Daphnia pulex: one gene and its partners. The protein of the gene in region 2 interacts with the protein of the main gene of each other region in a pairwise test. Links are inferred from orthologs where the notes say so. Each region holds a gene or a part of one and is shown on either strand. Other genes may lie near its edges.

What was found.
Region 1: the proteins of protein draper-like (region 2) and tyrosine-protein kinase Shark-like interact in binary tests that used the Drosophila melanogaster proteins (3 or more experiments, as listed by UniProt). The link is inferred for Daphnia pulex from reciprocal best matches to the Drosophila melanogaster genes drpr and Shark.
Region 3: the proteins of protein draper-like (region 2) and thioredoxin domain-containing protein 5 homolog interact in binary tests that used the Drosophila melanogaster proteins (3 or more experiments, as listed by UniProt). The link is inferred for Daphnia pulex from reciprocal best matches to the Drosophila melanogaster genes drpr and prtp.

The regions. Positions count from the first base shown.
Region 1 is NC_060024.1:9,936,943-9,947,316, reverse strand, and holds tyrosine-protein kinase Shark-like, read right to left. Parts: upstream 5,791-10,374; 5' UTR 5,589-5,790; coding exon 5,477-5,588; intron 5,399-5,476; coding exon 5,261-5,398; intron 5,196-5,260; coding exon 5,031-5,195; intron 4,954-5,030; coding exon 4,766-4,953; intron 4,683-4,765; coding exon 4,439-4,682; intron 4,379-4,438; coding exon 4,008-4,378; intron 3,950-4,007; coding exon 3,838-3,949; intron 3,753-3,837; coding exon 3,652-3,752; intron 3,592-3,651; coding exon 3,445-3,591; intron 3,377-3,444; coding exon 3,268-3,376; intron 3,201-3,267; coding exon 3,029-3,200; intron 2,960-3,028; coding exon 2,833-2,959; intron 2,773-2,832; coding exon 2,518-2,772; 3' UTR 2,285-2,517; downstream 1-2,284. Other genes in the region: serine/threonine-protein phosphatase 6 regulatory ankyrin repeat subunit B-like, read left to right, coding at 7-88, 157-242, 311-739, 805-990, 1,069-1,311, 1,411-1,983; facilitated trehalose transporter Tret1-2 homolog, read right to left, coding at 6,745-7,023, 7,096-7,925, 7,985-8,108, 8,174-8,863; RING-box protein 2-like, read left to right, coding at 6,049-6,217. UniProt on the Drosophila melanogaster protein: Following axon injury, required for recruitment of drpr and glial cells to severed axons and for glial clearance of severed axons from the central nervous system.
Region 2 is NC_060025.1:1,676,327-1,686,628, reverse strand, and holds the start of protein draper-like, read right to left. Parts: upstream 5,045-10,302; 5' UTR 5,030-5,044; coding exon 4,836-5,029; exon of another isoform or gene 4,690-4,835; intron 4,616-4,689; coding exon 4,542-4,615; intron 3,384-4,541; coding exon 3,179-3,383; intron 2,566-3,178; coding exon 2,439-2,565; intron 1,938-2,438; coding exon 1,828-1,937; intron 1,624-1,827; coding exon 1,565-1,623; intron 1,341-1,564; coding exon 1,165-1,340; intron 1,044-1,164; coding exon 973-1,043; intron 897-972; coding exon 776-896; intron 643-775; coding exon 505-642; intron 266-504; coding exon 209-265; intron 48-208; coding exon 1-47. Other genes in the region: probable galactose-1-phosphate uridylyltransferase, read right to left, coding at 5,981-6,083, 6,338-6,554, 6,687-6,795, 7,009-7,237, 7,311-7,795; 40S ribosomal protein S12, mitochondrial-like, read left to right, coding at 8,205-8,271, 8,331-8,405, 8,465-8,700, 8,763-8,873. UniProt on the Drosophila melanogaster protein: Receptor which is involved in the phagocytosis of a variety of cells including apoptotic cells, severed and pruned axons, degenerating dendrites, salivary gland cells, germline cells and bacteria.
Region 3 is NC_060028.1:10,388,978-10,398,928, reverse strand, and holds thioredoxin domain-containing protein 5 homolog, read left to right. Parts: upstream 1-5,053; 5' UTR 5,054-5,353; coding exon 5,354-5,377; intron 5,378-5,443; coding exon 5,444-5,604; intron 5,605-5,663; coding exon 5,664-5,813; intron 5,814-5,865; coding exon 5,866-5,980; intron 5,981-6,048; coding exon 6,049-6,339; intron 6,340-6,410; coding exon 6,411-6,506; intron 6,507-6,572; coding exon 6,573-6,673; intron 6,674-6,737; coding exon 6,738-6,768; intron 6,769-6,827; coding exon 6,828-6,929; intron 6,930-6,989; coding exon 6,990-7,127; 3' UTR 7,128-7,189; downstream 7,190-9,951. Other genes in the region: pro-resilin-like, read left to right, coding at 3,664-3,687, 3,764-3,861, 3,923-4,367; tRNA (guanine(37)-N1)-methyltransferase-like, read right to left, coding at 7,520-8,881. UniProt on the Drosophila melanogaster protein: Possesses thioredoxin activity. Acts as a ligand for Drpr and is required for the phagocytosis of apoptotic cells. Binds to the extracellular region of Drpr and augments Drpr tyrosine phosphorylation.

The DNA of each region.
Region 1 (10,374 bases), on a different chromosome or scaffold from region 2:
GAAATCATGGAGAATGCCGAAGAGCTGGTCTATTTGGCAGTTAGTAATGGTGAATGGATGGATGAAAAATCGTTGCAATTGATCAAAAGTAATTTGTTCGTGTAGGAATTGTTGGAATGTCACAGATTTAAATAATTATGTTTGATCTATGTAAAGGTGTTGATATCAACAAGCTGTGCAGATCTGGAATGACAATTCTTGGGCGGGCTGCACAGCTAGGTCTGTTTTTGTTTGTAAAACAAGTAAGTTTACTTTATAAACAAATTTAATGTCTCTCAGACTTGTTTGGTAAACAACTTTCATTAAATAGGTTTTGCATAGCTCCCTACAATACAAAGCTCACTTTCCATTAACCAAGTGTCGTGGACATAGAAGACCTCACCATCATCACTCAAGTGGGAGTGTTACTAGGAAGCATCCAGGAACTTCATCTTCTGAAGATGATGATTTCTTTGATGGAAGATGCACTTCATTATGCAAATTAATGGAAGCACCTTTGGGAATAGGGATGGACCCAATTATTTGTGATGTGAATGTATCAGATTCTTATGGAAGAACAGCATTGCATTATGCAGCAGAACAGGGACATGCTGATATTATTGATGTGCTTCTGGTAGCTGGATCTTTTGTGAATGCAATGGACTTTGAAGGAATGACTCCGTTGTATCTTGCGTCAGCACGCGGGAATTTAGAAGCCGTCCAGGCGTTAGTTCAGCATTCAGCAAACATTAACTTAAGGGTGGGTCGGCCGTATTCATTTTACAAGTAAAATCTAAAATGCTAATTTCAAAATTAATATTGAAGGCCACTGATAAATCAACACCTTTGCATTCCGCTGCAAGCAGAGGGCAACTGGAAATTCTTCGGATTTTAATCAATCACGGCTCTAAAGTTGACACCCTGGATTACTCCGATCGAAGTCCTTTGTACGTGGCCGCTCAGCGTGGTCATAAAGACGTTGTTGAAGTTCTTTTACTAAAAGGGGCCAAGGTAAACGGGTCGTTTTAAAATCATTGTGTTGTTTCGTCCTCTGTGTAGATGAGATTGACGATATCATGAATTTAACAGGTTAATTTGGAAGAAATTCATGGATACACGGCATTGTGTGAAGCTGTTTGGCAGAATAATACCGACATGGCTGAATTACTTGTTAGCCGAGGGGCTCGTGTGACCACGCAGTCTCACATGTTGCTCCACTGCGCTGTAACACAGGGAAACACTGCCATGGCTAAATTGTTATTGAACGCCAGAAGCGTTCCTAACCTTCGCGATGATCATGGCAACACGCCTCTACTTTTGGCTGCAAAACAGGTATTCCCTTCTACAAAAGTTTTCACTATATATTTACTCTATAACTGAACTTTCTGTTTTATAATCTCAAATTCACAATTAATCTCTTTTATTTCGTAGGGTCATCTAGCGATGGTTGAGCTCTTGCTAGAGCACGGAGCTAACCCAAACTATCCCAACGCACTAAGCGGCGTCCACCCAATCCATGAAGCTGCCCAATCCATGAGTGATGAAGACGTGAATATTTTCGATCAGATTCTGGAAACTTTGCAGAAGTATGGTGGTCGTTTAAACATTGAAAGTTTTACTCCTGGTGATACCCCTTTGCTACGTGCCGTCGTACATCATCACCCTGAACTAGCAACGGCTTTGTTTTCACGTGGTGCCGATCCCAATCTCAGTTCACTCTATTCATGTCCTGTTGACATCCTAACATTAGCCATTCGAAATGGTTACACTAGTTTTGCTAAAGCACTTGTTCGTGGTGGTTTAGATTTCAACCGAATTCGCGTTGAGCCCGACAGTACCAACCATTGGCTAGTCCAGTATAAATCTAGTCCTCAGCCGCTACTAGATTCTTGCAGACTAGTTATCAGACGTCAACTTGGCGAATTTGTTACGCAAAAAATCGCAAATTCTGCACTACCCGAACATTTGAAAAGAACTATTTTGTTAAAGGAATGCGTTCGATAAAGTCTATCATTATTATTGTCAACTTATATATTTGGGTTGCCGCGTCATATTAAGGTAATCCAAACTGAATATTTTGGTTCAATTTCGAGCATCTGTCTCCTAGAAGTAAGCTGCGAGATTTATTGATGTTTTTCTTTATTGATATGTAAAGGATAAAACTTTTTTATCATACATAATCTTCGTGTATTTCCAGATCTGATAAAAGGGTCACCAAAAATTAATCTCACTTAAAACTGTAGCCTCGACTCGCAATTCACATAGCCTCCAAGTCACACATGCATGAGCAATTTTGGTTGATCTGTTTTCTTAATCACATTTTTTTGCGCAAAGGAAGATGCATTATGCATTTGTACATTCTGTGTTCTTACACCACACCCAAATTATGACATTCCGTGTCTCGTGATAGGAAATGAGAACAGTTTTAAAAAAGGCACCGTAACGGTTTAAGAATAAAGTCGTGGATAAAAGGAACATTTTGTCATTCAGTTTCTTAATTAAGTCATCTGCTGCTCAGCAGTAAAAATGCTCTACTGTTTAGACGTCTGAAACCAAAAGATTACTGTTAGATGTGTCAATGAGATTGTCAAGCGTTTGTTCAGTCGAAGCAGTCTGAAGTAAGTTTTTAACATTGTCATATTCGGCGCTAGAGGCAAAATGCTGCACAAGATTAGCGAACGTTGGACGATTATCCGGATTTTCCGACCAGCAACGAAGCATTAGTGAGTAGATATCATTAGGGCAACGAGCAGGTTGCGGCAGACGTGCACCCTGTGCGACTACTTCTGTAGCCTATGTGGGGAGGATGTAAAATTAAGTCGCAATCTCAATCAGATAGGAAGAAGATATTACCTCGGCGCCGGACATTTCTCCATATGGCTGCGTGCCAAAGCTGTACGTTTCCCAAAGGGTGACGCCGTAACTCCAAACATCGCTTGCATGGGAAAACATACCACAATTAATCGATTCTGGGGCATACCTACCAAATACCAAAGTTGAAATTGTGAATAATAAAGCAAAATTCTGATTGGATGTAAAATACACTTACCATTTCACCGGCCATCGTCCACCTTTTGATGCTGAATAGAAACTTTCTCCAGCACCCAAGACTCTTGATAAGCCAAAATCGCTAATTTTCGCCTGATATCGTGTTGCCAAAAGAATATTTCTGGCTGCTAAATCACGGTGAACAAAATTTCTTTGTTCAAGATAGAGCATTCCTTTGTATCAATAAACAGCAAGTTTAGTAAGGATGCGACATCACAATATAACAATTTTCAAAACTACCATCAGCGATCTGCCCAGCCCATAGAGGAAACTCGAACTGCGGACTAATTGTGTGGGGATGATCCAGCAAGTAGTCCAATAAAGAACCCAAAGCCACCAACTCTTGAACCTAAAATCGAATAAAGAAGAACAATATTACATTTCCTATCGTAAAAGCTTGACTTGGAAGAATTATACCATCATTAGTGGAGGGCCTTTGCAAAGAGCAATTAGACGGACAATATTAGGATTTCGTAATTCCATCATAACCCGTGCTTCGCGGAGAAATTCTTCTCGGTTTGATTCAATTTGATCATCACGCAGAGTTTTTATCGCAACAGGAATCTTGATGAAAACACTTAAATGATATATTAAACCGGTTGATTAGAATAAGAAATATACTACCGAGTTTCCATTCGATTGGCGCAATGATCCCCTATAAACGAAACCAAATTCTCCCTCGCCAAGTGTGTCGTACAACTCCAACTCTTCCTTCGTAACAATTCCTGTTCAGCAAATTAAGATTTACCAACAGTTTTTAAATGTGTGCCTTATTCAACCCCCCCCAATGTAAAACCATTTCTTTCTTACCAACGCGTTTAGGAACATCTTTTGACGAACTACAGACAGACTCGTTGGGTGACGGTGAACGACGAAGGTTTCGGTTTGGTAAGGGCGGTGGACTGAGTGTTTGTCTTGAAATCTGTTACAAATTTAATAATCAAATACTTCGTCCTACAAAAAAGCAGCCTTAAAATTACTGTTTTAAAAGCGAAATTGTCATCGACCACTGGCTGAGGTGGTTTGATGGGTCGTTGTAATTCGGCAGGGAGGCCATCTGCGTGATTCATGTAGTGACCCACGACGTGTTCGAGTGATTCAAGGTACGGCCCGTAATCGACGTAATAATACTGTCCTCTTTTGCAAATTTCAAAGTGAAAGACGCGTCCAGTGTAGAGCACGGAAAGAGCGTAAAATCCTGGCTTGCTCGCACTTCTCCGAACTAAGAAAAAGTTATCTTCATTGTATTTGGCGCTGCCTTCTTTCAAACGACGCTCAGTTTCCTGTCGTGAGATGGGTCCATGATACCAGTCCTCTTTTCTGGTGAACGGAAATGGAGGTTTGTAGGACTCTGTGATAAAACAGACCAATTTAAGGAAATCCATCAGCTTTGAAATAATGTGATCCATACCTAATCGTCGTGCGCATTGATAGAAACCATTTTTTCTAGCTAAGTCAGCGGGAGTTTGATCTTCTTTAGTGCGTGACAATGGTGTTACAGACATTGCCATCATGATTTTCACACAATCGAGATGTCCTCGACTAGCAGCCTCGTGAAGGGGAACCATTCCGGTCAAACGGTGTCGGATTTGAGGGCTAGCTTTGAACTCCAGCAAAGTCTTTAAGCATTCGTGATGATTGTGTATACAAGCATACTAAACAATTCAAGAGAGGTTAATCATTAAATAAGCTACAGGGAAGGGTATTAATAAATGATTTAACTACTGTTATTAATTACATGTAGTGGAGTGAGGTCTGCATCATCCTTAACATTGACATTTCCTCCTCCTTGGATAAGAAGTTTAAGAATCATATTATTCCCCAAAAAGGCAGCTAAATGGATTGCAGTCTGTCCAATTTCGTTCTTAGCGTCGATACTCCTGTAGGAGCCACCTCGAAGTAATTCTGATACTACAGTTAGGTTGCCTGTTGAATAATTGGTAGTGACCTTGATACTTGATACTAAGGGAATCTCAGACAGATGAAAAATGCTTGGCAATCACCTTCTTTGGTAGCTCTATGCAATAGATTACATCTTCCATGACACCTTGTATCAACAGGTGGCAAATCTTTTTTGCAAGGTCGGTTAAGTGGTCCAAAAATAGAAGAGCCCTCTTTCTGACAAAGAGTAATGAGAGCATCAAGGCCATGAACAATGTATCCATCTTCTGCAAGGGGACAAAAAATTTATAATGAATGTAAATTAATGTAAAAAAATGCTTCAATGGCAAACCAATTGAAAAAAATGCATCAGCCCCATGTCGATTTATTTGGTAATGCCTGGGCTCTCCTTGGTGACGAACACTTAATATGAAAGCTCCATCAACTGTGGGGCTCTCTCTCACCAAAAATAGTCCTTCAGAGTCATCTTCTGCAGGCATAAATATGGAAAAATAAGATCACAATTTTAATAGATAGGCTACAAAAAAAAATATTATTTTAAACAGACCATTAGTAAGTAGAGCTTCAGCCTCTTGCCTGTTGATTTTCCCATGAAACCACCTTAGGTCTTGGTCAGTTTCGTCTCTTGAAGGTCGTCGAGACATGGTATTGAAATTCATTTATAAAGGTTAAAAGAGCTAGATTAAAAGTCAAAATTTTTCTTCATGTTATTTTTATCAGAGAGTAGTCAAAGGGAGTTCCTTCCTGTCAGTGGCTGAACCAAAATTGAACCGAATATGCACTTGTGATTATAAGTCAGCTGAGCGAGCGCCGAGCGGGCTAGCAGACGACATAAACAATATCTCAGCATACAATTCTGAGAGCTCCTTTGCTGTGGTTTTCAATTTTTTACTGGCCCAAAATTCTGTGTTCATAATTCATATAGCTAAAAGTAAGCTTATTTTACCCATTCTTATCTTTTGATTATGTACCTGCATTCTATTGTGTATAGTTGTCAATCATATCCAATCAAACCTTAATGCAACTATTGCTTTCACTTCAATATGTCAGTCAATGTTAAAAATCATGTTAAATGTTTTTGTTTATTTTTTTACAGGTTTTTTTATTCTACTGCAGAAAATGGCAGATGATATTGATATGGAGAAATCAGTGGAAAAAACCACAGTTGGTAATGACTGTGTAGTCAAAACTGAAAAGATGTTCTCATTGAAACGGTGGAATGCAGTTGCTATGTGGAGCTGGGACGTTGAGTGTGAAATTTGTGCCATTTGCAGAGTTCAAGTTATGGGTAAGTCCCAATTTCAATATGTTTGTTAAGAAGGGTTAGAGACAAGAACTATTTTAAAGGAAAATGTTTAAAATTTATTTGTGGTTCTGGTATATTTACATTTCACAAAATATTCAGAAATTATCTGGTTTTCACATTTTCAACTAAATACTAAAGGGGTGGGGTGTCGGCAAGGTTGTAGTTATGGGGGTTGATGAGAAGTTTACCATTTTACAATGTTCTGTACCCTGCCTGATGTAGTAATGTACATAAATATTTTGGAAGATAAAACAATTAGAAAAGATTCGTAGTCTGCTGGGTATTAGGAGAAACAGTCGTATTTATAAATAACGAATCCTAATTGTTCTATTCCTAATTATAAGGCTATCTTTAAACTTTCCTGGGAAGAAATAAGGTAGAACAGAACAGATCATTCAGAGATTTGAGGAATTGAAGACATCATTTGATTAAAGAAAGGAATAGTCTTATGTACAAAAACATTGTCCGCACTGTTAAGACGTCCAACGTTGAAAAATAATTGGTCGCCTTTACAGCCTAGTAGATTCGATATCTTTTTTCGGTTTCTTTTCAAGCATACTTTTCTCGATACTCTCCAAACTGTGTCCCTTGGTCTCTGGTACGAAGAAGATAACGAAAAAGATGCTGATAAAGCAGAAGAAACCAAAAAACCAGAACGCTCCATGGGCGCCGATCGTCGCTATCAGGTCGTTGAAGAATTTAGTTACTGCGAAGCTGCAAGCCCAGTTGAAAGCTGTAGCTACAGATGCAGCGTGACCACGAACCTTGCTTGGGAAAATTTCTCCCATCTAAATTAGCCAAATAGAAATTTTGTTAGGATTGAATTTTTTTCAAACAGCCATCACATTTTAATAACGTACCATAAGCCAAGGGATAGGTCCATAACCGATGGAAAAGGCGACGATGTAGACTATGAATGTAGTCAGTGGAAGCCAACCGACGTGTTCGAGATCATGTTCAAGGTGTTGCAGAATGAAGAAGACTCCCAATGCGCCGAGGCTGATTGCCATAAAGAATCCGGATATGTTGAGTAAAACTTTACGGCCTACTCGGTCGATGACCATATTTGAGCCCAGTGTAGCCATAAAGTTAGCCAACCCAATAATGATGGAAGAGAGGTTGCTATCTACACTTCCGCCAGATTTTTCAAAAATAGACACGGTGTAAAAGATGACCGCGTTGATGCCAGAAAGTTGCTGAAAGAACATGAGTCCGAGTGAAATGAGTAGGGGCCGTAGGTAGGCAATTTTCAAAAGTTCTCTGGCTCCACCACCGACGCTCTGATTCTTGTAATTGTTTTCAATTTCGAGAAACTCGTCTTGAACGTTAGTTTTGCCCCCACGGAGCCACTGTAGAGATTCGCGAGCTTCGGTATAACGGCCTTTAGAGATGTACCAACGTGGTGTTTCCGGAATGAACCACATGAAAGCTAAAAAGGGTAGAGGAAGAGCTGCTCCGATGGCCGCCAATACTTTCCAGTCGATGTAGGAGCCCAGAATGTAGCAAAACAAGATGCCTATGTTGCCTATCGTGGTGGGCAACAGGCCCAGCGATCCTCTGACCTCCGGTTGAATAGTTTCACCCAAGTAGATGGGCAGCGTCAAGGTAGTAAGGCCCACGCAAAATCCCTGGATTGAACGTCCGGCGTAGACCATGGGCAGGTTTGTAGCAAACGTGATGAGTAACCAAGCTAGATGAAGAAAGCAAATATTAATATTTTGAATTCAATGACACTGTTGCGTTACTTACACAAAATGTATGGTGGCCCGGTAGCCATGATGGTCGTCTTCCGGCCAAAATGCTCGACAATACTTCCACCGACAATGCCACCGATTAGAGCGTTAAGCGGCATTAAGCTCCCGATCCATGACGCCTAAGAATTGAATGATTTCCAGTTAGTTTTTGTTTGGTATTAGGGATTTTAGTCTAGTTACTAACCTCTTGGTCGTTTACGGGAATAGAACTGTTGGGTTGTGTCATAGAAGCTAGGGCAGGAGAAGTATAGCCAGATGAGTACCCCTCGATCAAAGCTGCTATGGCCAGGGCCAGCGAAGCCAACACTTGAGGGAAAAGCCTTCCACGACTTTTGCGACTTGCGGGTTCCATTTTAAATGAAGGATCTGGGAACGTAATGATCTGTGAGACATTGGACAGCCTATCGTTGTCTTTATTTTCGTCGGGATTTTCCATTGCCATATTGTCTTCTTCTTTCGAGTCAGCTGGCATGATTGGATTCAGAGCAATCAACGATTCGCTGACGACCATTGAAGTGGAAGGTATAGCTAACGGGTCTTTTGAATCGGAATTGTTGAGTCGAGCTTGAGCCAACGTTTCAGCCAGCTGTTGGTAAACTACGGAAGTTTGATCGACAGTGGCTTCGCAGCTGGAACAGGAATAGGATCCAGTGGAATTGTCATCTTTAATCCACCGGTAACTTGAGGGTGAATCGGTGCCCGTGGAACTCAAGTCGCACCCACTGTCTCTGTTTCTAGTTTCACGCTTTTCGGCGGCCAGCATGATGGCGTGAATTTTACTGCTGTCTGATTCCATTTGGCAGTTTTGTCTATCTTCGGCAACAGCTTCGATATCGCACCAAATTGAAGGTTGCTGACCTAGTACCGTAGACATCTTTGGGGAGTTTTCTTTCACCTCCTAATCCACGTACGCTCTTGGACTCTCTGCAAGGTCGAAAAGTAAAGAAATAGGGTCAGCGATTAGAAACTGGGTTTCTCCAAAATCGCAAGAGAATCGGGTTTTTCCAGTTAAAACACATTTAATAATATGAGATTAATTAAAAAGTCATTTTAAACAATCACGCCTCCTTTTAAACGAATTAGTAACTAATTGTTAAAGCGCTTGGAATTTCAATCTTGCAACTTGTTAGACAATAGAATGGATTCGAGATTTAAAAATCTTAACACAGATGGTTTGGTTGTTTTAAGACAATCGAACGTCTTCACAAACATTTTACATAAATCGGAGTGTTATTTGACTTGGATTCCGCCGCTCGAGTAAACACAAAGTTACAAATAACAAAAAAAAAAAACAGAGTTTCAAAACACTAACTAAAATTAAACTTACAAATGCCTGGAGAAATAGAGGACGCCTTGAAGAGCTGTGTTGACGCAGGATTCGAGTGGATGTGTGTGATGAGCTAGTGGGGTCCGCATGTCTTTTTATACTTCTCAGCACGGCCTACCCTGCGCCGCTCGGTTTCTTCAAGTTTGTTTCATCCCTCCTTCTTTTTCATCTTCTATCGCGAGAAGTACGCTCAGCCTAACCACACGTCACATCGCCAACCCCCAAAATGTTTTTGACGAATCCTCTTTTTTCCGGTTTTTATTCCTACTGGGATCTTCGGCCTTTTTTTTTTAATCGATTTATTTTGGTTTTAAAATTAAATTAGGATTACGTCATAGTTTTCCACAGAAGGATCGCTATCCCCCAGACCCCCACTACTCCTGATTTCTATTCTGGTCGAAATCGCAATTTAAAATCAGACTCAAAAATAATTTTTCACACTCCATGAGTAGGTCAATATTGACTTTAACATAGTGAAAGTGAATTTTTAAGTTTAAGTGATGGTCTTTTGAGAGGGAGAAATTGAAAGGTTAATAACGTTCTCGGCCTAGTTTGAACCGGTCGAAAGCAGTTTGAGCAGGATTTTCTCCCCTTAATATATCAGGGGGTGGATAGGTTCTTATACAGGTAAGAAAGTTAAAAACCATAAATAGGTCTTTTGGGAGATTGTGGGCTTTCCAGCGTCGAAGTATATCGGAACCCCCTGTAGGCCTAAATGAGCCAACAAGATTTCATTAGTAACAAAATAAAAAAACCCACTCTGAATTTGCCAATAACTTCAACGTTATAAAAAGAGAAAACTGGCTCCACCTGCCGTAAATAATCGATAACACGACGTTGAACTTGACAAACTGACTTTCAATTGCTTTTGAGTATACTCTGTCTGGCTCTTGGGTTGATACCCTCCACATCTTTAGATAAGATTTTACATAGGGTGGTGTTTATCCCTTGGTATATTTCTTGTTGCCCCTTTTCCCCTTTTTGGCTTTCTTAAATATACAGGTCATAGGCATAAAAACATGGAGGGATGTTTATCGTCTTTCCACGGAGATGTGCTC
Region 2 (10,302 bases):
CAAGCGCAAGAACCGTTCGTGATGTTGCAAATGGCTCCATTTTGACACTGTCACGACCGCAAGAAAAACAACACATAATCAATTCAAAATATGTTCTTATTCTGTCCAGGGACAGAGATTCCTTGTGTCAGTCACGACAAATTCACGACGCTTTCTAACAACTAAATAAAAACAGTCTGGATTATATTATGTAAGAAAAAGTGCCAACCTTGCATGGCGTTTCGCAGTTCTTTCCGTACATTCCTGGAGGGCATTGTTCCTGACACTGTCAAACAAAACAGAAAAAAAAAAGAAATGAGGAAAAGTACTTAAGATTGATAGACAGGGATCAAAGCCAATAAGCCCGGATGATTGCGACGTGGTTACAATTTCCTCTTAGTCATCATTATTCTTTCTTTTTTTGGACAAGGAATGATAGGGGTTACACAATAGAAGATTGAATTATCTTTAATGACATTTAGAAAAAGAGAGAGAAAGTGAATAATTAAGTAATAGTATACTGACTTGATCGCCACGGTAGCCGGGCAAGCAGTGGCAAGAGCCGTTAATGTGATCACAACGGGCATTGTTGTGACAGGAACAACGTTGAGAGCACTGGGCACCCCAAGTGCCATCCGGGCATGGATTGGCGCACACTTCACCCTATATATAATACAGCACACAAAAGCCGGAAGTGGAAGCAGCCAACGAGAGAGAAAAAAAACAAATCAAATGAATATATAAAAATAGAATCGAATGGAAAAAAAGAGGCGGATGGTGACGGATTTTTCATTACCGTCCATCCGCTGGTACAGAAACATTTGCCATCGATGGGGCTGCACGTGCCCCCATTCTGACAGCGGCAACTGGACGCGCAGTTTTGGCCGTGGGTTCCATCCGGGCAAGGTTCATCGCATCTTCAAACAGAAAAAAAGGAGCAGCGGAACTATTTTTAGTGCCCCATAAATTATGATGATTCTAAATGAATATTACAGTGGTCCATTCCATCCGGGTTGACAGGCGCATGCTCCCGAAACAGGATCGCAATAGGCTTGATTCTTGCACTGTCGAAAGGAGAGAAACACAAACAAAAGGGGAAAGAAGAAAAAACAATCAGCAAATGGAGAAAATGGAAATGGAGGACATGAGAGTAGGTGCTCAGGGGGAGGTCTAGAGTATTATTACCTGACACTTGAGAGAGCAAGACTGGCCGTAATAGTTCTTGGGGCACGGATAGTCGCAGTGGAGTCCCTTCCAACCTGCCGTGCAGGTGCAACTGCCGTTCACCGGGTCGCATTTCGCTCCATTGAGACACGGACAGCTATTGCTGCAATTGGGGCCCCATTTGTGCTCAGGGCAAGCTGCATTGGAAACAAAAAACAAATGTTGTACTAGTTTTGCTAGTCAATTCTCCCCATATGTCAGGAAATAAAAGAGAAGATCCGGTTCGATAATCTGCGACCGCAGCAACGAGACTGGACCTGACCAGATCCTCCCCACCCTCCTTCCTCCGATACATAATCAAATAACAAAAAACAGCGAGACTGAGCTAGAAAAAAAAAAAAAAAACACGAGCATAGCATACCAATGTTGCATGTGGGTCCGCCATAGCCGGGCTCGCATTTGCAGTTGTCCGGTCCCACGCTGTTGTTTTTTTATTTATTTTCGGTGGTCGTCATCACAAAAAAAAGAAGAGTACCGAGAATAAAGAAACAACCAAATAGAACGGAAACGAATGAGATACATATATACACACATATGTATAAAAGCTGAAAGAATATAGAAAAAATCAAATTTTCTTGTTTCTGTACTGAGAGAAATGTGGTTGTGTTATTTTTTTTTTTTTACCAAGTTCCGTGCAGGCACTGCTGGCCACAAATGGGAACGCAGCTGCTATTGTCAGTCGTTCGGGCGTAACCTGAACAACAATCCTCGAGGACCCGGGTCTTCTCCACCGACTTGATTGGACCCCCCGAAAAAGAAGATGACACACACAAAAAATAAAAAGTTAACAAAAACGATGATCAATATTGAACAAAACCAGGGAAAAACATTTCATATTCACCACAACAACAACAACACCAAAAAAATTGGAATGGAAAAAAAAAGTTGGAAGCTGAAACCAAACGATTCGCTCCACCCCCTTTGAAAAGTCGTGGCGAAACGTTCGGCCTCAATCGATTCATTCGGAGAAAGGGACTTTTGGAATTGGAAAGGAAAAGTTTCATCTTTCAATTTCTAACGACCGGGAAAATCATCAGAAAGTCAACCCTCCCGACTCCCGTCCAAACTTTTCCCCTCCACTCCCGACGTCTCGTATGTTTGGCTATTCCAACACAAGCGCCGGACAGTCGCTGAACTGGTTGTCAAAGAAAAGCTTGGACACACAGTTGGGTCTGCTAACTCTCTGCGAAATGATATCCGGTGGATAAAATAATTGAAATGAATTCAAATTTTACCTCAGTTTTGAAGGCCACTTTATTGTGGACCGTGTAGCGTGAACACCACGGCGGGAAAGCCAAGCAGGTGGTGAACGTCCGGACTTTGTACGGCTGCAGATAGGATATTTTCACCGTCACGAAATATCTGGAAATGAGAAAAAACGAAAAAAATGTGTTTAGCGATTATAGCCAGTGCTAGGGAGAGACATGAGCAATCACGATGTTGAAGGAAAAATAATAATAATAATAATAATAATTCCGATTGGATAACGACGAATGAATCGCTGATTGATGGATCGACCCCTCTCTCTACTTTTTCACGCCTGGCTGGATGCATCCCTGATCAACTGTGTCACGCTCGAGCGACAGCAAATCCCGAAAAACGATCAAAAACTCTCCCGACTGAGACTTGATCCTTTTGGCCTGTCCCCTTATTACCATTTCGTCCCCCAGCCCCATCCATTTCCACCTCTCTCTTTCCAAATGTGTACAGGATCCACTGGGGACACTAGAATGGCTGATGCATGCCAAAAATCCTTAAGTAGATGGGGGGGTTCACCATCCCTTTCTTCTCTTGGAAAAAAGAAAACATTTGTGCCTATGCGGGAGCTGGGCGGGGGAACCTCATCCAAAACATCAAACGCTTTTCTTCCTGGAGGTAGGATCCCAACAAAATAAAAATCCTACTTTCCCTATATATAGAGCTAGAGAAACAACAATCGAAAAAATAGTTATTTATATTTTGGTTAAATTCTTACTTTTCTTGACGGGTGCAAATGTTGCTGCCGGATAAAGTGCTGGCCTGGCAAAGCTGGGCCAGCCAAACCAAGATGAGAATAGTCGTAGTCGCCCATTGTTGTTGGTGTGGTGATGGAAGTAACGACATGGTTGTTAGTAGTAGTTTGGTTGTTGTAAGTTGTTGACACGACCAAGTCCTCCCGACGGAGTTGAAGTTGTCACGACCTGTCAAACACACACACACACAGAAGAAGAAGAAATGGCGACTGTCAATATTTTTCTAAATAATAATCCGCAAGAAAAGAAGTTGCGCTGCGGCAAAGATTCAGAAGCAGCAGCAGCCAATTACGTAAATGATGGTCGAGATCACACACACTCGAGAGCTAACGGGCGGGGCTAAGTATGTGGCAGATGGATGACGTCAAAAAACTTTTTCTCCCCGAGTAAAGGATTATGTTGATACGAAATGTGATTATACATACAAGTCTTTTCGACTACTAGCAGCAGTTGCCAAATGGGCATAACCCTTTTACACAGCGATTTGTATTAATATACGTTTGCACGTCTACACACACACAAAAGATGATGAATACTTGATCGAATCTCTCCTCGACGTGTTGTATAGAAAAATAGGCGGCCGGGAAATTCTAAACGACAACTCTCAATTCAATTCAGGCTGACTGGCAAGAAGAAGACTATTGAAAAGAACTTTGGGGATTCTTTTACGGTCAGTCTCACACAGCAGATCTTCTCTAGATCCCCCCTCTACTCCACTTCCATCCTCAACCGTAAGTAGTGGTGGCTTTTTCGGGACTTATCGGCGGGACACGCACACTGCGGATATTCTTACAGCACATTCGTCCTCGTGAAGCTCGAAATAAAGAGCTAAAAAAGGGCAAAGAAAGAAAACCGCTGATGGATGTTTTACTTTTAAAAAAGAAAACATCTGCAGCAGCAGCCGGAAAGAGAAATGGAATTCATTGACACTTTAGGGGAGAGGCTGGAAAGAAAAGAGAGAAATCAAATTATGTAGAACAACATCAGCGTTGTTGTTACACGATATATGTACATTTACTTGGGTATAGACGCATCACAAGGGGCTGACAGTGTGTTTGCATCAATTCAAAAAAGAGCCTTTTGTGTGTGGGTGTGTGTTGTGCTTAATTGATTATGTGCTTTGTTTGCTCTTTTACTCTCTACGTTAATTAATGAATTCAGGTTATTAAAGAGGCGAACAAAATGTAGTTGACGTGGTTAAATTTGGAAGTGACGTGTGCTATATAACCTTCGCAAAGGACAAGATAAAACACCCCATTTTTCCTGGTATTTTCACAAGTTTTGACCTCTAACATATTATTACAGAAGAATTACCAAAATTCTTACCTTTGAAGAGTTCATCCACCTGAGAAGCTGCTCTGAAATGACACCCCCCAAACACATGTAGACTCGGATGATTTCTATAAGAAAATGGAATTTAATTTTTACCAGACGTGGTCAAACACACACACACACACACACAGAAAGTACACACTCGAAATTTTCTGTTTTTCACACTTTGTCTTGTTGACACACACCACAGGATAAAAATGGCTGACTGAGAGAAAATTTTTCCGTCCAAGTGGAAATGAGTCGGAGAAGTAGTTGGAGAAAGAATAAAATGGAAGAGAAAAAATGTACCCAAGAGAAAGCCAGCAACAGCAATTTTTGTTGACGATAAAATTTAGTTGTGTGTTTGTGATGGCCTGGACTGAACGAGACTGTGTGCTATCAGCAGCTTGTGCCAGCAACACACACAATACACACACACATGCCCAGTGGCGTCGAGACGGTGGTGCCACCTGGTGGCGATAAAAATCAGCTGATTGCGACATCGGAACTCGACGTGAGTCAGAAGGTTCGGCAGCCCAGCGGAACCGGACCGCGCTGTAGGACTCGTGTCTCGGCCTTAAGAGCTCACGTCGTGTTGAAGCTCAAGCGTGATATTATTATTCAAGGCCGGAAACAGGGAATCACCATTCACGTGACTGTTGGCCGATCCATCAATTGCTCAACGACAACAACAGCCCCCCCCTCTCACAAAAAAACGTGTCAATCCACCAGCCAAATCACACACAAAGCCCATACTTTTTTGAAGCGAATAAACTCTGATCCTGGCATCTGTTTCTCGATATTATTCGGCCGATCTGGCGGATCACATTGGAATATTATGTAGCTGCTCGGGTAGATATACATAAAGGCTCCTCCCACTCGACACACACACACAACTTGTGATTTTTCCCCTTTGCGGACGACTGCATCATAGGCTGCTGCTCTCACTCTTTTCTACTAAGACGAATATTGTTAGACGATGCTCTGAGCCCCTCAACGGCCGAACCTACCCAGATGCGGATGTATACAACAGCGAGGCCGGCGTAGGATCGATAAGTGTAAATAATCCAGTGTATCAAATGAAACCATGAGAATGACACGAGAATAGGAAATCGCAGACAGCCGCCATGAAGGATTTTCTTCTGGGTGAAAAGAAATCGATCATCCTCTCTATTCACAGTCTCCTTCTGCAAAGACGTCACTAACTGCCAGAATTGCTTGATTAATCTGCCCTTTTCGCTATAGCCTCTCCGACTCGAATAATTGAAACCAATCAATAAACAATTCGTTTATTTCCGGATGGGCTTTCTCCATATATATATAGATAGCCCAGCACCGCATAGCAACTGTAGTGTATAATGCCAGGAAACCGCATGCAAACTCTTGTGGTTTTCTTCATTGACTCGACATAAGAGTACTACGGCAGAGCCGCCGATGAGAAGGAGCCCTTCTTTTTATTTTACATCGGCTTTGTAATGAACGTCCGGTTGACTGAACAGTTTTTGAGCCGCTTGCTCGGCAGTTAAATCTCGTTGGGCCTGGCCGAGCATCTCGTACCTTGCGAAGATAAAGAAAGAAAAAACCAATTAAAAACGGATGATTCGACGGAGAGAGAGAGAGTTGTGTGTACACACGCATGCATGTTTGTTTGAAAAAAGGGGGGGGCATTTTTTGGGCAGACATCCAAAAGAGACGTGAAATAAGAGAGTCAATCTCACAGGACATAGTCAAACAAATCTATTATTCCTTCTGCTGATGCTGATGCTACTTTGGGTGGGTGGAGGTTAGGTTAGGTTGTATTTGATTATTACCCGACCATGAATTTCTTGACGGACGAAGATCGAAGTAACGGTGGGTAATACATGGCGTGCAGCTGCCAATGTTGATTGTTGGAAAGAGCCTTGCGGCCAGTGGGAGCCCCGTGCCAGCCCATGGAATATGGGAAACTTGTCCGGAACAAGTTGTCGTACTTGATCGTTAGGCGTTTCATTATTTCAGCCAACGAGTGGATCTCCTCCGACGTCAAATCTATTACAAGGGCCGAGTTAGCAAAGGAAAAAACCAATAAAGGGAAGCGCTAGACAGAGCGCTTAAAAGAGACGTAGGGGGAGGGTGAAGGGGAGGAAACGATTAACGATCTTATATGTGTGGTGTACGTACCACACATCCGGATCACGTGACGGAGTGGTAACAACAGCGTTTCAAACGGCCAGATAGCCCACCAAGGAACTACGACTAGCCAGTGGCTGTTCTGAACGACGATCCGTTCCTAAATAATATCAAGGCAATAGAAAAACATCAATCATTGGCAAAGTTGACCACCGAGGAACAAATAACACGGGAATCTATAGGAGCTCTGCTGGATAATATATATCTACTACTTGTGATCCCAGGCTTTTCCAATGGTCATCTCAGCTTAGCAAATCTAACAAGTTTACTTGATGGCAAGTTACATTAGATATATATCTTTGTAGTATAGTACCTGCTTCTTCAACTCGGCATTGATGTAATCGAGCAGCAAAGGTCGGCCGTGGGTCTCGTAGTATTCCCGCTGGTACGAATCTTTGATCCTCGGCTCGTTGGGCATGAAAGACGATGCCCAGATCTGGCAGTGCGGATGTGGGTTCGAGCATCCCATAATGGCGCCTTTATTTTCAAAGATCTGCACCCAATCGTACTTGACACCCAATTCAGTTCCTTGCTTAATCCATCTGCAAAGTTGTGTGTCATCCAATTGTTATCGCATGACCACAGAGATGTCGGTGACGTAAAAAGTCTTTTTACTCATAAACAATGGCCTTGATTTCTTCTATGCTCATCAGTGGAATCGTTAGGTCTGATTTAGGGTGGAAGCACATCACACGGCAAGTTCCCCTGGCAGGTTCAAACTTGAACAGTTCTTCATTTGGTTGATTGGAAGCTGCTGCTTCTGGGATGTCGGGCAACAAGGCAGGAAAATCATTGTCAAAGACAAAGGTTGAATCATATTCTGGGTTTTTCTCTCCATTGGGTCTGTTGACTCCCGGGCAGAGAGGATTGTTGAGATCAAATGGAGGTATTTCGTCTTCATGGGTTGCCTCTACCTGGCCACTCCATGGTCTCTTAAGACGATGAGGGGACACCAAAATCCATTCACCTTTGAGAGGATTATACCTGACGTGTTGATGTTCTGCTCCAATAAAATTCAAACCACAATTTAAAATACTAGTTTCTATAAAAACATGCAGAGTGATAATAACATTCGAACCTGTAAAGTTGAATTCGTCCATTTCCTCGGCGCAAGTTTCAGCCCAACGTGTTAGTCACCTGAAAATGGTGGCGATGCTTAAAAATTTTATAGGTCGTTAGTTGATCGCCACGTTACAATGTACAACCTGTCAGCTGCATGACGTCAGACAAAAAATTAAATGACTAAGAAACGGAAGCGACAAATTTGGCGAAAACAGCAGGTGTTCCAGGAAAAAAAAAAATAACAGGCACGCTGCCATGCGTAACCCATAATCTTAAATTAGGAATTTTCCTCACGCACATTTTTTCTAAGAATTTTTGTTTTCTTTTTTGTTGTTGCTTTCTTTCTCGATTAATTTGGCGCACTACAAGATATCGATTTATACAACGCCATCTAAGCAGAGAGAACGTAAACAACAATTTTCGTCTGCTATTTTTCTTGAAGAAAAAATGACTTCAATATTGCAAAATGTTTTCAGGCTGACTTCAAATATAATCAATTCAAGCAGAAATGCTGGCAAGTTAATTTACTGTTAATAAAAATTCAGTATTTAATACGCCATGAATGTTTTCCAGGGTTACCAATGCTCAGGCAAACACTTGGATGTACATCATCAATCCTCCAAAAATACAATCAAATGCTGTTTACCGGTTCGTAATTGTATAGCACTAGTAATTAAATGAAACTTTATTAAATACCATTATTGCAGGTGAAAGGTCTATGAGCAACCTACTACTTAAAATGCATTTGAAAGGGCCACACAAAAAAGTCAGGCCACCCAAGAATCCCCTCAGCGGGAGTCCTATGCTGAAGGGGGTGGTCTTGAAAACTGTCATCAGGAAACCCAAGAAGCCTAATTCAGCCAACAGAAAGTGTGTGATTGTAAGACTCAGCAACGGCAAGGAAATGTGTGCCTACATACCTGGAGAAGGCCACAATCTTCAAGTACAAAATCTTCTTTTCTCAATCATAACATGAGATTTAACAAAGCTTATTTCATCTTCCAGGAACACAATATAGTGCTGGTGCGAGTTGGCCGAGTCCCAGATCTTCCTGGTGTCAAACTCAAGTGTATTAGAGGTAAACATGATCTTGGTCATGTTATTAAGAAGAAATAATTCAATAGAACAGCAATCGTTGCAGAGCACTAGAATAAAATGGATATGTTTTCAGATCTCTCATATCTTTTGGTACCATTCTTTTTTTCTCATACATTCAACACTATTTAAAAACAAAAACAATCCCCATTTATTAACCTAGCTTTTCTATTCTAGCTTTCAGACAACTCAGTCCCTTTTTTTAAGAATAACGTCTACGTTTTACGTCTGTCTGGCTGCCTCTTCTTGCGATCATTTCTTTTTATTTAAAGTGAACAAAGTCTGATTTTGATATGATAGCGTACAAGTCTACATGCATCCCTCCAGGGGTTCTTTCCCAACTTTGTGTAACATTTGAAGCATCAACCAAAGATTTCAATCTAGCCATAGAATTGAATTTTCGTTGCGCGTCCTCTGTGTTAGATATCTTGAAATTGAGCTGGAAACGGCAATGCCTCCGACTTTCAAGCGATTGAAATGAAGAATCTGAAAGACAAAATGAAATTGCAGATAATTAAATCTACATAAAATCTGCATGAAACAATGTTTCCGCGTTTCGTTTTGATTTCATTTCGAAAATGGGATCGCTAAAAACCATCTAGCGGACAAATTAGGAACACTCTGTAGATGGCGCCATTGGTTCAAATTTTAAAAGAAAATATTCTTTTCTTCTCCGGCTGGAAATTGTTTGGGCGATCGATTTCCAAGAGCCTTTGGGCGTGCATTCATAATTTAAATTGAAGCTCAAACGCGGAATTCTATGAAAATCATTCTAAATTCACCGTCGAATCCCGCTATTACTACTAGAAACAATCGTCAAGCCCACTAATCGAGTAATCTCTTGGTTTTAAAAAATCTCCAGGTCATAAAAACGAATTTAACTGCAAATGGCTACTGCATCGATAAAGCCCCATATAAAACTTCCCTTTTTTTTCTTCTTCCATCAAAATGTATACAAATATGGAAGCCGGAAAAAGAACAAAAAAGGCAGCATATGTGTCGTTTTATACCTGCCCAGTACAGAGGATTACTACTACCACATCTACCACTCTTTGGCCGGTTGACCATCATCATTCAGCACTAAGGCATATATAAACTATAGCCAGGACTTCCGGCGGCTCCTTGTCGCCGCACTCCTAACATACGTATATCCAGATAATTGATCTTGCAACAACCCAGGAAAATAACAACAACAGCCCGCGCTGCTATAATACTCGGAATATAAATAATCCGATAATAATAAAAACAAGATAGCTATATTACAAGTCGACCTAAATGAAGCGTGTAAATTGATCTTGGAAACTGTACAAGTCATGACGTCGATATATACAAGTCCTCTCAAAACTCTCATGATGGTCGCCAACCAACAACATCCAGCTCGAGAAACTAACGGTACAATATTGGTAATTGGAGAATCCTGTGGGAGGAAATGGTTGATGGAAACTGTACA
Region 3 (9,951 bases), on a different chromosome or scaffold from region 2:
CCAAAAAACAGATGATTTACGTTAATAGATTTTAAACAATCAACTATCAGAATCGTGATGAATGAGCATTTCATCGCCTTTTAGTTATTATGTAATAAGAAAGTGCTTCCTCATTTGTATTCATGTGCCTCGATATTGAATCAATAAAAAATGTCTATCTTTTCTTTTAATCCGCCGCATTTATTTTGGTTATTTCTCTTGTTTCAGATCGAAACAAAACGGCGTCATTATTCTTAATCGCCACCTTTCACTTTCTAGCCAGCAAAGTGTGCGAGAAACTCGACTCGTCAACAACAATTGAACACCACTGTGCAATCAGCAGCTAGCGAAAGCGAATGAATAAAAAGAAACAAAAAAGAACTAGGGCTTTAATCGTCTGGGGGGGGGGGGAAACAAAAGCTCAGCATGGCGCATGGAAAGGAAACCGCAAGATATGATGGACGACCGTTGTTATATGTGCCGCCCAATTTCTTCGCGATTGTCGGCGGGATGAAGACGCGATCTCTTCTTGTATCCGAGCTTTTCTCCTTGTTGATGCGCATGAAGTTTCAGTGCAGGAGGGAAAGTAAAAAAACGAAACAAAATTCACCGCTCGTTAAATTTCGTACATTTCGTGAGCCCCTTCTCTCTTGCGCTTATATATTCGGTGGAGTTGAACAACTCGAGTTGATTGTTATACATCCATACGTTTTCTTTCCCAACTTTTCCAGGCTTAGGTCAAACTCACACGCAGTAATTTCCCAAACTGTAGAAGAATAACGGGTCACGATGTCTATTAGCATTTCGTGTTTTTCTCAATTTTGAAATGCAGAGACTTCCCGCCGTGGTTGGAAAATTTAAAAAGAATTGGCTAGAGGAGAAACAACACATCCATTTTTATTTTTCTCAGACGTTTGTACGGTGCTGTACATAGAGTTCGATACATATCCTATCCGTCTGAAAGGGAAAGTCTGTGTGTATCTATTACAGGTGCGCCATTTCCCGTTTTTACTCATCAATCATCGCAACACTTACTTGTAAAATATACGTACAGCAACTATTACTTATTTCCTCTCAACACGACTTTTTCCGTGTATTTCTTTTGCCGCGGAGGAATGATACTATAGAAACCGAAATGCGTGGTTACACCTACATAGCGATAACGAAAAAGTCAATCGTCATGTTATACGTGTACGCCTAATTGAACGCTGACTGTATAACAAACTCGAGGCATGGGCGATTCGTATCAATAGATTTTCCGCGATTTCTATTACTTCCCAATTCTTGTTTAAACGTCCTGCATGTTACTATGTGTGTTGGTCTAGAAATGACGGGTGAAAGTCCAAGCTAGGAAATAATATACGCGCTGAAATCGGAATAATAACTATGGTACCGTCATCCAGGCTCCAGCAACTATTTGCGCAGTCGTTTTTCGAAATGGTTACGAAATGAGGGCGCCAACTGCGTGCTAACAGAATTAAATTATCTTGCCAAACGGTAAGGGCATCACTACCTGTTGTCCTCGGTTCGATTATTTCACGAGGTTTTGAGCAGAAATAAATTTAGATATAAGCGAAACATGTTTGAATTCTAATGGATTTTTGTCCCCACATTGTCATTGGTTATTGATGATGGTGTACACATCGGAATTTTTTCTTTCTCCCAAGCTCTGTTAATAAGTGCCGATGAATAAATCATCAACAGCATTTTTTAAAATTCCCACGGTGCAAAAGGGGAGAAAAGGCAAAAGTCTGTGCGCATGTTACGCCAACTCGCACCACTGTGGCAGATGGACAAACTAAGAATTTTATTTTTGCTTGACGCCTAAGCTTTTCTATCTAGCAGACGAATCTACGTCAAAGTTTTATTGTGAAGTTGTGTTTCCTTTAGAAAACCAAATTGAAATTAAGTTTTTTTAAGTTTTTACAGTTCGAGTGCAATTTGTACAGCACCTGTGTTCAATTACCAAGGACGTACGTATTCTCGTTTATTATTTACTTAACTACAACGATTTCGTAATGACAGATGCTGTGTAGATTTTTTCTTCAATGCCATGCATGCGGTTATCTATGATGTGATGTCATTACACACAATCGTAAGCAGATGAGCCTCTATTCAGAACAGGTCGCCTTTTTGGGATGGTCCCGTGTAATGATAATCTTTTTCCTCAATGACATAACTATTTCGTGAAATCTGTGACTGTAGACTTTCGAACGGTGCCCTTCAATTCCTAAAGATCGCAAATAATTTCGTTGACTTATTTTGAAAAAAGTTTGACGATGCGACCCTATCTGAAGGTGAAGATACATTCTCAATCGTAAAATGGCTATTTGAGTATTTGAATGGTATCTTTTATTGGTGTAGATAGCACAGATTGATCATAACCTCGTTGGTATGTCGGGTAGAACACATAAAATATCTCTGATTCTCACAGCTTACATGTCTCTTTCTCTATGTCGTTGAATTTATACATTTGCTTCTATTTTATTTTCAAGGCAATGTTATTCCGCGTTTGGAAAAAGGGTTGATCCCAGTTATATCACAGACAACACACAGCGTGTGGAAGGTGATCAAGCGTTAATAACTATACTAGTATCTCACAATATTCCACGGGAGGATAATTCACGAAACGACGAATCAAATACTTTTACAGTCGAGGTAACTATGCACTAAATAGAATTATCTGCGTTAAATCTTGTCTAAGCATCCTCCAAGTCTTATAGTCTCCTTTGTCACTCATTAGCGCGGAAACGTAAATCTACAACAAATATGATTATAAGTTGCTGCTTCGTAACTACTTCATTAAAGACGCTTGGGTTAGTAGTTCACGGTCCAATCGTGATGAATCCCTTCTCCAACGACCTCGTAGAATCCCCAGAATTTCCCTAATACGCTTACGATATTTTTCCCTTATAATTTCTACTGGGAGGGAATTTTTCAGATTGCAAATAATACGTTGATTGTGCAAATTAATTCATTTGGAAAATTACGTTTTCGACTTCAAACCGAAAATTGAGAGATCCAAACCAACAACCAAAAAAAAATTTCCAGACAATTTAAATTTCACGATTTCAATTGCACAATTTAAAGAAACGCCTGCCGGATTGAAATTGGCTTGTTGACCGGTCACGTAAGACTGGTTATTCGGTCACACATAAAGATCACACTTATTATTTTGGATGGTGAGAGAAAAAAAAATAGCAATAATTGCGCGTTTAATTGGTTTCGAATTAGGCGACACAATTAAGGGAAAGTATAACTTCCAATATCCTTTTCTATAATTTTTTGTTTTTGTTACCGTTGTGGTCAAGCGACAAACAGGCGAGCCGGTTGTCGAAGGCTATGCGAATGTATAGCTTGCTACTTGTTATTTTCCGTTTCACGCGATGTCACCGAGAATCCGAAACTCTGCGAGACGTTAGCGCCGAGCTACTCACGCATGATCCGGTTTTACGGGGTGAGCCAAGAGACCTTCAAGAGTCAACAAGACCCCTCCTTTTGGATAGTATCATTTCCCAGCGTCGCCTGTAACTTGCAGTAATGAGTAACCACAGCTGAAACGACAACAGTGCGACTAATGTATAAAAGGACAATGCAGTGGTTCTTAACAAGCACAGTCAGTTCTCTCAGTTTCCAGTCTCAGCTTCTCTCTCTGAAATCTCAATTTACTTTATACTTATCGTCATGTCTTTCTCGATGCTTACTTTGGTAAGATTTAATTAGGTTTATACCTAATTGTTATTTTTTTCACTATTCAAGTTTCATGTTAATTCCTCCGCACCAGATCGGTGCTACCGTTTTGATGGCACTCATCGGCTCATCACTTTCGTACTCGGATACTTATTCCAACACCCCGAGTTACTCTTACGCCTACCAAATTTTGTGAGTTTACGTTTCCATTTGACAAGAATTAAAGTTTACCTTTTTTTTAAATCGATACCAGGGACACTTACTCCGGCCAGGATTTCGGGCACGAAGAGGCCAGCAAATCTGGCAAAGTGAACGGTGAATACCGTGTTCTCCTACCTGACGATCGCCTTCAAGTTGTTAGCTACTCTGCCGATCAAAATGGTTACGTTGCCGACGTCCAATATGCCGATGGTTCATCCAGTCCAGCTTATGGCAAAGCTGCTGGCGGTTATTCATCGGGTGGTGCTTCCGTCAAGACCTCGTCGTACTTCAATCCACCAACTACTTCTGGCAATAGTGGATACTCAGTCAACAATGGTGGATACCAATACGGCGGAGCTTCATCAACAGGAAACAGTTACGGTGCTGGAAGCTACAACAATAATTATCAGAGCGGTGCTGGAGTGATGGCTGGTCAGGGATCGATGTACCAGCAAACTGCCTTTAAATCCGGTTGCGTTTGCCAGTGCCCAGCATAGATATAGCATAGTGCCCTGCCCAATTTCAAATTAACCTTACATAATTGCGGTCTTCGCTCATATTTATGCAAAACAAAAATGCTAGATAATATAATTATTTATTTGAAAGCCGCTCTAAAATTTTGTAGCTAAGGATATATTGTTCTTTCGTATATTAATGACGTGTGGCTTAAATAAAACATGCGGATCCCATTCTGTTATTCTCCTTTTTTTTTCTTTAATTAGGTTTTGAGCCTTTCTAATCCATTGTATGAAGAGATAGCGCAGTTTCAAAATGATGAGTAAACTGTAAAAGCGCGGTTTACAACAAGCCGTTAAATGTTGTAATTTTTGTTGTGACAATAGCTCATTAACATTTACGTGTTCCATATTCAGTCGACGTTAAAGAAATTCAAATTTCATGTGTAGCAACTTGTGACACAGGTATTTATTCAAGCCAAGCTTTTATTCATTTGCGTTGACGATTTGAGTGTCCGACAAAAATATTTCTGGCCATCGAAGAGCAAAGAAGTTCTGCTTTATGAGCAGTTTTAAAAACTTTAACGTTTTTCAAGTTGCATTATTTTATTTTACTTTATTAATAATCCATCAAAGTAAATATTTATAAACATTTGTAGAAATGTTTTTTAACGTTTTCAAATGCATCTCAAATGGCGCTACATAGCTGCAGGCAGAAAGTAAATGACAAGAACGACACCAGATGTAGTTTTGTGGTTTTGTTTTACTGTTTTACACCGAACGAATCTCAATCTGAAATAAATAACGCCCCAACGTCCAACGATAACTAACTTTAACTTGTTGTATTTCGAGCTGCTGATAATCTCCTCACGCTGTTTATTCTATTTGCGCCCTGTACTGCCTCCCGACTCCGGTATCGTATATCTAGCAAGCCTCAACTGAAAAATATTGTACGTGTCAGTCTCTGAGCATAACTCGTCATTCATACCGGCGTACTGCCAATTTTCAGTTACTATCAAGACATTCTGATGTATTTTCAGACATCATTTCGCGTACAAACATCTTATTTTATAAATTCACAAAGGTCTTTAGTTAAACTGTATATTTTCATTTTGTAGGACATGCAGTGCAGCATCTTTATAGCCATCATCTTATTGATGAAATGGGTTTCGGGAAATGAGGCCAATTCTGATACTAGTCAAGTTGTAAAGCTTGACGGTGACACCTTTCAAGCAGAATTACCCAAAAGCCATCATTTTGTCATGTTTTTTGCTCCTTGGTTAGTGTTAAGTTGGACCCGAAATGATTTAGAGTTTCATTCTTATTAACTTTTTACAGGTGTGGACATTGTGAACGATTGAAGCCAACTTGGGCTGAATTAGCCACTACTGTTAAATCAAAGTTGAATGAGGAAGTAAAAATTGCTGAAGTTGATTGTACTACTGCAACTTCTCTTTGCTCCCAACAAGATGTCACAGGCTACCCTACGTAAAGATTTTCCTTATCCAATGGTTCTTTTTCTAAAGTACTGAATTTACAGGTTGAAATTCTTTACGAAAGGAGTGGCAGAATCACAGCGCTACAGAGGACCAAGGGACTTGCCTTCATTGCTGACATTCATTAAAGAGACTCTAGGCTTGGCTGAAAGCATTAATGTACTTACATTTTTTTATCCTCATTTTTAGTTTAATATTACTAAATATTTATAATTCTTTTCGTATAGGAAAATGTTGTAGATACTAAAAGTGATGAGCCTGTTAAAGGAGCTCTTGATCTTTCTGAAGACAATTTTCATTTACATGTCGCCTCTGGAGATCATTTTGTGAAATTTTTTGCTCCTTGGTGTGGGCATTGTCAAAAAATGGCTGGAACATGGGACAACCTTGCACAGTCAGTTGGGCAAGAAAACAGCGTTACCATTGGAAAGGTTGACTGCACTCAATTCCGCGACTTATGCAACGAGTTCGAAGTCAAAGGTTACCCTACTCTCCTGTGGATTAAAGATGGAAAGAAAGTGCGGTTATCTATATAGTGTTTCCCCTTGTAATTCAGATACCTAATTTTACTCATGTTATTTTGTGATAGGTAGAAAAATATCAAGGATCGCGAACCCACGAAGACCTCAAGTCATTTATTGAGCGCATGAAGAAAGGCAATACGGAAACTGCAGATGCCAAGACCGTAAGGATGATAAAGAAATTTGAAATAAAATAAATGTTTTCTTCACTAATATAAATATTTTCAAAGGCTACTGTGACTAGTTCTAGTCCTGTTGTTCAGCTCGTCGGTTCAAACTTTGAAAACGGAATAGCATCAGGAGTGACGTTTGTAAAATTCTATGCACCTTGGTAAACCAATCTATTGGCAACTTAGAAATCGGGTTGATGATAAAATTTTTTTTTTTTTTTACAGGTGTGGCCACTGCAAGCGAATGTCCCCTACTGTAATTACATTTTTAGTTTTAATAGAGATTGCAAATATTTTTAATAATAATTTTATTAGTGGGACGAGTTAGGAACAAAGTTTGTCGGTAAAACCGGAGTTAAAATCGCTAAAGTAGACTGTACTGAGGGATCAAACCGACAGTTGTGTGCTGACCAAAAGGTATTATCGAATAATGTAAGTTACAATTCATGTAATCAATATTCAAAAATTGTATTATAGGTCAATGGTTTCCCCACCATGTTCTTGTATTCAAACGGAGAAAAAGTAGAAGAATATGACGGAAACCGTAGTTTAGACGACATGTTTTCTTTTGTCGCCAAGCTTATGAATGATAAACAAGCAAAGGATGAATTGTAGAACTTTTACCTCAAGTAAATATACTCTTGCCTTTTAAAAAGAGTAAAAAGATGAAAGGATAATGGATAGCACTCATGATTTATTTCATCCACTTGCATGCCAAGTTGTAACTTACACCAAAATAAGCGAGTAGTTGTAACCCTACTCTACGTCACCGCCCTTCTTTTTGTAAGTGTTTAGAGAAAGTGTTCATTATATGCCAGTGAAATTGTTTTCGTGATTAGGTTTCCAGAGTTTTATTGTTTAAATTGTCAAAAACATCAAAACCTAATCGGAAACACCTTTAGATACACCACCGTCGCCTCTCATCTTCTTCCTGCAAATGTTGAGATAAAACAGGTTAACAAATTAGAAATTAAAATAAGCTTTGAGTTTAAACTATACTTTAGATTTTATCGATCTTGTGACTCTAAATCCAGCTTTAGCCTCTTCGGTTCGGAAGTTTCCTCCTCCACTTCAGGTCCAGACTTCGTAAGTATTTCGATGGGAATCCGGAAGGACAATCGTAGCATGTGCTTCTTGGGTGAAACATCTCTAACGTCGACTAATTCGACGATTTGTCCATCTTCAATGGAATGTTTTAAAGATGATTCCACTTTGGTACGCATTTCAGAGAAGGCAGAAGATTCTTCGCAGAAACTGTATACATGAACGGTAATGTCTGGGAGTGGATCCAACTCGATACCCGCTAATAGTCCGATGAAGGCGTCGAGGAATTCGACAGCAAGTGCAGGAAGGTTCATCGTTACGTGGATGGGCTCTGTGGGCTTTCTAAGAAGGAACGATGACAACTGTTCACGAATAAATTGACGCCCATCAAGATTGAACGTTTCAACTTTCGCGACTTTGTTGATTCGAACGTTTTCTTTGAGCCAATGGTAGCTAGATGGGTTGAGATCGTTGGCAAAGACCTGGCACTTGCGAATCTTCGCGGCCGGAACTGAAAACGGACCCACTCCAGCAAAAACGTCAAACAAAACACAGTTTTGTGGTAACAGTTTGATGATGCGCTCGTGTTCCGTGCAGAGTCTTGAATTCCAATACACTTGGCTAAAGTCAAATTTGAAAGTACATAAATTCTCTTTCACCTCCGTTATAAAGTCAGTTTCACCCGCCAATACTTCCATTTGGAAGTTGCGATAAGTCGAGTCTATTGCCGAACTCTTGTTCACCACCGTCTTCACTCCAATCAACTTGTCAATCAAGACTTGACCAATCAAATTTTTGTAGGGTAGCAGGTGATCTCTAAGATTGAGGTGAATGATGTGACCTATTCGTGAATATGAGGTACATCCTTCTTTCCCCTCTGGTAAAACAGCTTTGAAGATATCGTCTATTCTGAAATTTTCATACTGTAAATGAAGACATGTTCTGGAGAAGTTGTCATTGTTCACGTCCAATTCAGAAAGTTTCGTTTGTTGTTCTTCACTCAATTTGTCCAATGTTTGAAATAACAGAGGGTCCAGCAGCAATTTTTTTCTCTCTACAGTGCCATCAACTTCAACAACTGGTTTTAGCTTCTCCATCTTGAGTAGATATTTTTTGAAAACATGCATGCTTTTCCCAATATTTTGGCTTGGGATTTCAACTGACGGTACATTCACTTCTTTTGAAAATTTTTCTCTGTCTAGTTCGGTCATTCCGCGAACATTGGGTAAAGACAAATCCATTTTGGTCCATAAACTACGAAATGGATAACTAGTTGGAACAGCTTTGGTTAGTCTACTGAAAAGAAATAGGCAGTTCACTCCCATCAAAACAAATGATTTTCAAATTATAATCTTAGAATAAGATGGTTGGCAATCGGATTCTTACCAACTAAATTAATCGTTGAAAGCTAAAACTTTTCAAACAGATTTATCAAAACCCGGCTTTGTATTTTCCAAGAGGTTTTAAATTGATGGGCAGAATACAGTACACAATAGACGAAACTACACATGCTATAAAAATTTCGTCTGCAGCGAAAGAAGTAGCCAAATTTCGAGTTTTGGACTTAAAAATGATAATCTTAAAGTTTTTGGATTCAGTCTTTCTGTCCTTTGCAAATCACATGCAAAAAAAGGAAACTTGTGATGACTAATGAAAAAGATAAATCCTTTGAGTTATTAATAAATAATAATTCCTTTGAAAAGTCGGCTTTGAAAACAGAACTGGCAACATCGAAATAAATGTTCCCGGAGTTGGCGTCTGCCTTCTACCTTCTTATTTCTTTGAATCTCATTCAGTTTGATGTTCTCGACCTCGCGTGTTGTACATAGGTAAAGGTACGACCATGTTCACGATTTCCCTGCGAGTTCCTGATTCAGCATTGCATACGGTGCATATTGGGTATGTATTTTCTCGCTGTAAAATTGTTTCCAGCATTCCGAATCAGCATTTACTTTTGATCAGTTTGAAGAAAATCGATAGCAATTAATGTAAGAAAACTTAATTGTGATCAATTGTAATAGTCGTTTAGTTTAACAGTCATGTTCAGTTGCTTTCTTATTGTATTCTTTTGTTAGTCGATAGCGTTTAATTTTCGAGATCTCTCACGTTTTATTTTTACAGCTTAAAATCTGTGTCAGGATTGATCCAGTTCATGAGTACCTCTCAGGTTTTATAGCCATTCCCGAATCCAATTTTAGTGCTTCAATGACATTCTCTGCAAAAGTAAGAATTTTTCTATTGCTTATTAGCTGTCCCCTTGAATTGCAGTTCTCTCCGAGGCAATGCAAAGTAATTAATAATTTTGTGGTCCAATACTTCTTTCGCTCCTTTTGTCCTTTCAGACCAGTTTTACAGTTTTTTTTTGTTGATGGTTGTGAATCGTAGGTAGTTTTGC